Bombyx mori: one gene and its partner. The protein of the gene in region 2 interacts with the protein of the main gene of each other region in a biochemical or structural test. Links are inferred from orthologs where the notes say so. Each region holds a gene or a part of one and is shown on either strand. Other genes may lie near its edges.

Region 1 (4,654 bases), on a different chromosome or scaffold from region 2:
AGCAATGTCAGCAATGCCAGAGGCACAGCCAAGTTGCAACCGCTAAGTACTCTTTGTAAGCCTTGTTTGAAGAAGCACATGTCATAGCGCTAAGGAAAGGGGTGAGTTAATTGCAGAACCAGATGGTATGTGGAAAATATCTCTGCAAATGCACTGTGAATAAACACAACACTTTCAAATAGTATTGACAAATTTTAATCCAAAGGCGGGGGTGCGTTTGATTGTTTAAAAATCGAAATAAGCACTATACTGGAACTTGATACTTACAACATTAGTGTAGTCTTTGATTTCAATAAAAATGAATGCATGTTTTTTACACATTCTTACATTCTACATCTTATGAAACTTGCAATAGTATTTAGAATATAAATCAACTAGGTGGAAATCAATTAAGAATAGTACCGGCAGAGGGCGATTTAATTTCACTAGTTACTAAATAAATATTAATAGTGAACATTTCTAATGAGGGACCGCCTAATAACACTTGGATGGACTGCGTGAAAGAGCACATGTGAGAGAAGGGTGTGAGTGCAGAGATAACGTATGATAGGTCTGAATAGAGAAAGAGGACATGCTGACATGAATGAATAGGTCCTCTACACTACGGGATAAAGGCAACAATTAGAAGACTCAAGATTTCTAATGTGTTACATATTAACAAATCCGTGGGGCTTCATTTTATTAAGGTCATTCCTAGGTCTACATTAACCAAGTCATAAGTGAACAGGTGCTATTTATTAAAAGCATACCACTTCAATTTCCAATGTTAGGCACGGACACTGTTTCTTTGTTAACTTCATTTTTAATGATTTTACATTTTTCAAGGAGACAAAAGATCTTGCGAGATTACCTGAAAATTACAGTAAGTTGTATTACGGCATTTTACAATTTTGCTATCTGCCACAGCCATGCTCCTAGTATTACTGATATTCACGAATGATGATGGGCTTTAGAGGGGCCATGATTCTGTTTATTAGCAATAAAAAAGGAACACATTAAAATTCAACATTCCTTATAGTAATTTACTGCACAGTAACATGATTTTTTGTCTGTCTGTCTGTAATATTTATTTTTAAAGCATTGTTATTGATACTTTGCTATAGGGGTGGTTGTTACAGGAAAATCAAGGGTTTTTTGTGATTTGGCAAACTAAACTAAATGATGCATAATGAAATTGATGGATTGGTTACAAGAACTAACTATGATAACTTGGAAAACGATCTAACAGTCCTCAAGTATTCAATATAAATAAGTATCTAAGATACTGTTGATTATTTTACTTTAAGTACACTGGTGGTAGGACCTCTTGTGAGTCCGCACGGGTAGGTACCACCGCCCTGCCTATTTCTGCCGTGAAGCAGTAATGCGTTTCGGTTTGAAGGGCTGGCCAGCCGTTGTAACTATACTTGAGACCTTAGAAGTTATATCTCAAGGTGGGTGACGCATTTACATTGTGGATGTCTATGGGCTCCAGTAACCACTTAACTGGTCCACCCATCTAAGTAAAAAAAAAGTGCAACACATTGTCATAAAAAACGAACAGTTTCAGAACTGTTTATAAACTGCTAATTCCTACACACAAACACCAAAATCTTACAGATAACACCTAACACACACAACCTAACCATGCCAAACACTTAAATTACATTTGTGTTCAATTGTCTCTTATGTTTATTGTTATTTAATTTTCTCTATGTTGAACAGTGTATTAAACAAAGAATGCTAGGCAAAATATAAATACATGTGAAAAGAGGTTTAAGCTATTAATATTGCATGATTATCATTTAAAACATTTTGGAGTGCAAGTAAACAATGATTTCTAATATCTGATTATAACCCCTAAGGGTCTGGAAGTCTGGCATCTTAAGCATAAGCTTAAGGTCAGCTAGTCCTAAAATTTTTCCACTCTTTATATTTTAAATTTTTTTATTTTATATATTTCTAGACACCATGAAACTTTAAATGGTATTGGGAAAACAACAATTTATTATTTATTTAAGATGTACCTGAATGAAGATCACCACTTTTTTAAACTTAATGGCTATTAAGTTAATATCAATGATTATCAATATCTAAACATTTGATATTGGAAATATTCACCAAGAATAATTTATTTATTTTATCATAGCACTTTTTAATGGAAATTATAATACCCGAATTCAATCCTAAATAAATGTCTTGGTGAGTTTCATCCATTCCAACCAATTGATATTCAGAGAAAAATACACTTTGTGGTATTTCACACCATAGTACCGGAGGGGCTGGTCCAGTGTTTTCATCGCTGACAATGAAATACAACATATCGTCTGCTATCCTTAGGACACACTCCTTAGACAGTTTTGATATTGTACTAACAATAGCTGAAAACAAAATTCTGGTTACAATAATCAAAAACTAGTAAGCAACACCATTAAAGCGGAGTTTTACTTGAGAATTCGCGTATTGGAGAAGAGTTATTCATAACAGCACGGAATTTCATAGTGATATGTTTTTCGTCTTTTGAAAACAGTTGTTTAATTCGTGCAAAATGAGATGATGAATTGCACACTATTTTAAGATATATAATAATTAGTAACTAAACACAGTTTCGACATGTAATTTATGTTTTATTTTTCCAATACTGTGTTGTTTTCAAAACTTAGGCAGCGCGAAAATTGAGTGAGCATTGACAATATAGATTTGGCTAGTATTGCAACTGCACAAAAACTCTTATCAGTATTGAAATCGACTTAAAGTGCAAAGGTGATTTCATGATGCAAACATTTTGGTTCATTGAGAATAAGTAACGAAGGCTATCCAGCTGTAGTTTCTGTGAACTAATAATAATGAGATACCCCGATGAAACTGTTAAGAAAGCCGAGAAATAAGTAATGGCTTTGATCTTTGACAAGAATGCTCCTACAATATTCAATTTGTAATTTTAAACATTCTTGCTAAACGGTGTTTTAAATAACAGAGACTTTTAGCTAATTAAAGTTTTTCGGAATGTGTGCTTAAGGTATCTTACAGAGCCAATTGATTTAGTCCCTAAATGTAGAATGATGCTCGTAAGAAAATATTAGGATATTTCTACCGTTTTTGTTGATCATCTTCTGTTAAAGAAGAAAACTCTCGTTTACGCCAGTCTGAATCTGCTACATCTGTACGTATAGGATATACTACGTGAGCCGGAAGCACCTAAAAGAAAAGATCAGAGTATCTTTTCAGCGTGAGACGAAGTTTGATACAAAATTCGTTCTATTGTAAAGAATGTGTGTTAATATTGGCGATGATAAATATTTAATATGTAGGTATAGGTGCATACATTTACATGTAACTGTCTCTATCACAGAGTTTAGTAGTTTGGGTGTTAACAAAAAAGGTAAGATCTTACACCGAGCGGATAAAATTGCTCGGTAGACTAACGGTTCTAATGTTGTGGTTCGAAACTCGTATCTATGCAAATTTATCTTGAAAATGTTGTTAACAAGATTCAGCCTTTATTGCTTAGATGGATAGACGAGCTCACAGCCCACCTGGTGTTAAGTGGTTACTGGAGCCCAAGGACAACGTAAATGCACCCACCTTGAGATATAAGTTCTAAGATCCCAAGTATAGTTATAATGGCTGCCCCACAATACAAAACCGAAACGCATTACGATTTCACCGCAGAAAATAGGCAGGGTGGTGGTACCTACTTGTTATAATGTTATAATGTTCGCCGAAGCACGAGTCGATTGATTCTTTAAGACCATGCGGAAAAGATGCACATCCCTGATTCGCCGGGTCCGGGTCAGCCCTAACAGCATCCTGAAGGCATTAACAGACCATTATGACTGTCGGTACTTGAATCATTGTACCATGGGTCATTTGCGGACTAAATAATAATAATCGCGTTTTTAATAATGGTTGGTTCGAAGTAATTATCAGTTGAATAGAATATTTTAGATGTATTCAACTGATAATTATTTTTAATAAATGTATCTTTTGATGATTGAATGATGATGATTTGAACTTGATTTAGTCGAATCCATTCCTTTGCGATCTGGCAGCTTTGACCATAGAGTACAAACGTCACTGGTCTTGAAGGTAGATGGCGCTAACATGTCATCCATGTTGACAAGTTTCTGTTTACGGTTAGGTATTTGTCTCTATCTTGCACGAGAGTTTTACGGTATGCGAAAAAAGGTAAGCGATGTTCCATTTTGAGTGTAACGAAAACTAACGAATTGTGGTTATACTATGACTTAAAAAGTTTTTATTTATTTTTATCAAATTATTGTGCAATTCAAACTATTTTGATTCAATTACACGTATTATTTATTTTTTAACTTTAGATTCACGACCTTTGTTTTGTTAAATATTTGTTTAATCAGAAGAATTTATGGAGAATAATGAACGGTCAAGGTATGTTTGCGATCGATAATGTCGTCACACGGATGTGGAATACACGTAATTACTTATAAATGCACTAAAAGATCGTCGTAGTCGCCAAATGTAACCGATATAACATAAGTTTGAGTTATAAATAAGCATTATTTGTTCTTATTAGAATGTATGTTGATACTGGCTAGGTTCACGGTTACCGTTTCATTCTTTTAACGTATTTCCTTCGAATTCGATCTTCGAATATATAACGGATTATTTTTGAAAACCTTTCGTATTTGTCAAATAT
Region 2 (4,654 bases):
CATTTTCATTAGTTAGCATCGTCGTCAGGTTTGAGCCCCGTGAGCTCACCTACTAGTTAAGGTTCCGCTGGAATAGCCTCTCTAGGCTACCAGCTTAGGAAGGAAAAAAAAAAGAGTCGTGGCATTCCGTATCAGACAGTCATTCAGTCCGTATCGGACGGTCCGTCCGTCTCAGTCAGTGAGTCTCTGGCAGTCAGTCAGTCGGTCTGTCGCTATGTGGAACGAAACTGTCGGTTTACCCTGTCATTGTGAAAGTTGTGTGTTTTGAGTTTCAATAATTATTATTCAAAAGTTTTATTGACTAAACTGAGTTCAATCGAATACAAGTGATGACGGAAACAACCGCTTAGCCATCCCTGGCGCTGCGCCGACATATAGATAATTATTACATCTAATTAGCGTTATATATGTGCCACAATGTCAAACCTCTAAACAGTTCCCTCTAAAAATTTCAAATGCATTGTTGTTAAATAATCGGTGAGTTTAATCACATATTTTACAAGAGTGCTACAATAGTCTGGATTTATATAGACAGCTACATTAGATACTAACTGGAAGAGGTGGAGGTTGTGGCATCAAGACTTTTTTTTTATATTATTACGTTTCACATCTGAGGAGTGAAAGGTTATTTATTGGTTTAAGTGACATTTTTGTAACATTACAAGAGAGCCATTGAGAGTTTATAATTTGGAAAAAAAACATAACATTAAAACTTATTGAGCTATTTCAATGAAGTAAACTTAATTTAAGTTCAATTTAAAACATTGAACTGTTGATGATAATACCAAATAAAAGCCACCTTTAATTACAAAGATAAATGTCGTGCATTAAGGGAAATGTCCCTTAAACTATATATAGCTATATAACTATACTTGAGACCACCGCCCCACCTATTTCTGCCGTGAAGCAGTATTGCGTTTGGGTTTGAAGGGTGGGGCAGCCGTTGTAACTGAGACCTTAGAACTTGTATCTCAAGGTGGGTGGCGCATTTACGTTGTGGATGTCTATGGGCTCCAGTAACCACTTAACACCAGGTGGGCTGTGAGCTCGTCCACCCATCTAAGCAATAAAAAATAAAATAGCCTTGATCCCTCAATATTTTGATTTACAAAACTACTCTGGAATAATAATGATGGAACTGTTGTTACAGTTTATTGACCTCTGCATACTCCTTGGCTGTGATTACTGTGGTTCCATTAGAGGGGTTGGCCCAAAACGAGCCATCGACCTCATAAGACAACATCGGACACTGGATGAAGTACTCAAGAATATAGACACTGAGAAGTACCAACCTCCCACTGACTGGGATTACGAGCGAGCTAGGAGTCTGTTCATGGAACCTGAAGTCGCTGACCCTAAAGACATTGAGGTATGAATTTTTATTTTAAAACTTGAGCCCTAGTATACCATTTTTGCTGGAAGTAAGGAGTATTAATAGCCTACAACAATTAATCTGCTTTGTGGTAGCTATCACTGTCTGTATACATAATATGCTAGGAAATATTGTGCCCCAAGATACTGTTGAGTCTATATCGGGCAAGGATTTTTTTTATTTTTTATTTATTGCCTGGATGTGTGGATGAGCTCACCTGGTGCTAAGTGGTTACTGGAACCCATAGACATCTACAACGTAAATGCACCACACACCTTGAGATATAAGTTCTAAGGTCTCAGTATAGTTACAACGGCTGCTCCACCCTTCAAACCGAAATGCATTACTGCTTCACGGCAGAAATAGGCAGGGTGGTGGTACTTACCCGTGCGGACTCACAAGAGGTCCTACCACCAGTAAGATTACCAGGATTAATAAGACACGTGTTTCGCTAAGTGACTAACGTATATTGGGATTACAACGTAACGTGCTATCGACAGCCCGACAATCCCGAAACTGACGTAGCATAATTGCAATGTAATAATTTTTTTTTTTTTTTTAAATAATTAAATAAATAAATATTTACTAACAATCACGCCACGTTAACTGGTCCCGTGATAAGTTCATAAAGAACTTGTGTTACAGGTACCAGATAACGGATATAAATGTAAGATTTTTATTATACACATACATATATTTAATATACATCCATAACCCTGGAAAAGACATTTACATTTATCATACAAATATCTTCCCTTGGCGGGATTCGAACCCGCGACCCCCTTGTGTAGTGACCATGTCACTTACCACTACACCAGACGGCCGTTTAATTACAGCTAACACATACATATAATTATTAGTTGCTATGGGGACATTTGTGGTCCCTACAACACTTCAACAAATGAATTTTATTCATAAAGATAATTTTAATTCTAAATTAACAGCTGAAATGGACTGATCCCGATGAAGAGGGCCTCGTGAAGTTTCTGTGTGGGGACAGACAGTTCAATGAAGAACGAGTGAGGAATGGAGCTAAGAAGTTAATTAAAGCCAGGACGGGCACCACACAGGCCAGATTAGATGGGTTCTTCACGGTATTTACAGTTCAATTTTGTATTACGTTTCGTCATATGTGATACTTGGAAGCTTATTGCTATATATCGGTAATGAGCCACAAATATCTACATACATTTTATAAGGAACCTGTAAGCTTATTTGCTTCCTCCTCCAAAATAAATTACCGGATTCATCTTTCTTAACTCTTGGGTTTCATATACAGGGTGTATAGAGATTGTTCCCAAAGACATAACGTAATTGACAAGCTTTTTTGTTTTCTAAATAATTTTAATAGGATAGTGTAACAGGCATGTAATGCAAGTAACATTAGTAAAGCCTAATTTTTTACATGCAGTATTTTTATATCACCGATCTACCACCATTAGACATGAGGTAAAAATATGAATTGTAGCAGAAGAGCCGGAACTTAAGTACCTACCGGTGGAGACTTCATACCAGTAATATTCAATTATAAATCTATATATATATATGTATATAAAAATGAATCGCTGTTCGTTAGTCTCGCTAAAACTCGAGAACGGCAGGACCGATTTGGTTAATTTTGGTCTTGAATTATTTGTGGAAGTTCAGAGAAAGTTTAAAAGGTAGATAAATATGAAAATGCTCGGAATTAAATAAAAATAACAATTTTGTTTTCCCTTTGATGTGTCCCCCGTCGGACGGATTCCTTTTGTTTGTTTTAAGTTTATTTTATACAAAAGTTTAAGTCTTTTATAGGCATTACGGGTCTGCCGGATCAGCTAATTACATTTAAAAATATGTACATATATGTTCATGCTATCAACAGTTAACGACAACGCCTAATTCGAAACGTAAAGCTGAAGAGGACAAGAAGAATTCAGCAAAGAAGAAAACTAAGACCGGAGGTGGAGGACGCGGTCGGAAACCGAAATGATTATGTGAGTCAATTAATATCTATGTACGGATAGATTCCTCGAACTAAAATAAACAGTTGTCAAAGCCGATAATGGGTTAATGTACCTTTTCTGAAAAACAAAACAATAATCATTTGTAAATCAAAGTTGTGTAGATATAAAATTTCGATACATATTCGAAGTTCATCGCGCAAGGGAAATTTTTTAATAAAAAGTTGCCTCTAACCACATCATATGAAAGACTGGTGTTGGCCATGTACCCTGTCTATTTCTGCCGTGAAGCAGTAATGCGTTTCGGTTTGAAGGGTGAAGCAGCCGTTGTAACTATACTGAGACCTTAGAACTTATATCTCACGGTGTGTGGCGCATTTACGTTGTAGATGTCTATGGGCTCCAGTAACCACTTAACACCAGGTGGGCTGTGAGCTCGTCCACTCATCTATGGAATTAAAAAAAATAAAAAATTGGCTGATACACAAGTTCATCGACCTCCTGTGACGCGTTGAATTACCTTCACTTTACATTCCAGTCCACTAAATAATCTATAAATCTTTTAAAACAACAAGCATAAACTTATACTTATAACTATATATTTCAAATAATTATTGTTGTATATTTACATTAAATACAGCAATTTGTATTCCCATTTCGGCTTTAAGAACACATGTATCTATGTATCATCCTGTAATTCTAAGACATGATTGAATTGAATAAAACTATTGTGTTTTTTTTAAATATCTTTTTTAATTATCCTTACTAAAATAATTTAACAAAATAATATATTTAAAAAAATATATGCAAACAAGACCTCAAACATTGTTCTTTGTTCAAAACTAACGAATATCAGTCGTTATGATTATTGATGATGTTTTATATTGTGCACAATTAAGAACTAAGAACTTTTAATTCCGGCAAATACATATGTGAGTCGTCTATTATCAAAGGTGGCAACCTGTGCATTTGGCCAAAAAAATGTTATTGATATGTCAATACAGATTGATTTGAATATAATCGTCTCCTTCAAAGAATACGGTTCAAAACCTGCATTAAATAAAGGTTAATACTTAACCTGTGATTTATCTAGGATGTCGTTCAGAAGAGTTTTGTGACTGCCAATGGAATACAAAGTCAATAATTCGTTTTTCTGATTTACCAATAATTGTCCAAAAGTCACATTGCCGGCTTTGATAATAGTCGACTCATGTCTCGATTACACATATAACCACCAAAGCAAATTAAACTATGTGTGACGTCATTCTACTATAATCTCAAAAGTTCTTCTTGAGGAAGTTAATGAGTCCATTCGTGGAAGCGTCGTGGCCGGTCACAG

What was found.
Region 1: the proteins of flap endonuclease 1 (region 2) and checkpoint protein HUS1 form a complex in vitro, tested with the Homo sapiens proteins (2 studies listed by BioGRID). The link is inferred for Bombyx mori from reciprocal best matches to the Homo sapiens genes FEN1 and HUS1.

What each region holds. Positions count from the first base shown.
Region 1 is NC_085134.1:9,690,279-9,694,932, reverse strand, and holds the start of checkpoint protein HUS1, read right to left. Parts: upstream 2,698-4,654; 5' UTR 2,480-2,697; coding exon 2,428-2,479; intron 2,375-2,427; exon of another isoform or gene 2,361-2,374; coding exon 2,154-2,360; intron 851-2,153; coding exon 750-850; intron 1-749. Other genes in the region: myb transcription factor, read left to right, coding at 4,364-4,386. UniProt on the Homo sapiens protein: Component of the 9-1-1 cell-cycle checkpoint response complex that plays a major role in DNA repair. The 9-1-1 complex is recruited to DNA lesion upon damage by the RAD17-replication factor C (RFC) clamp loader complex.
Region 2 is NC_085126.1:8,812,702-8,817,355, forward strand, and holds the end of flap endonuclease 1, read left to right. Parts: intron 1-1,150; coding exon 1,151-1,369; intron 1,370-2,316; coding exon 2,317-2,466; intron 2,467-3,236; coding exon 3,237-3,344; 3' UTR 3,345-4,059; downstream 4,060-4,654. Other genes in the region: glucose-6-phosphate isomerase, read right to left, coding at 4,593-4,654. UniProt on the Homo sapiens protein: Structure-specific nuclease with 5'-flap endonuclease and 5'-3' exonuclease activities involved in DNA replication and repair.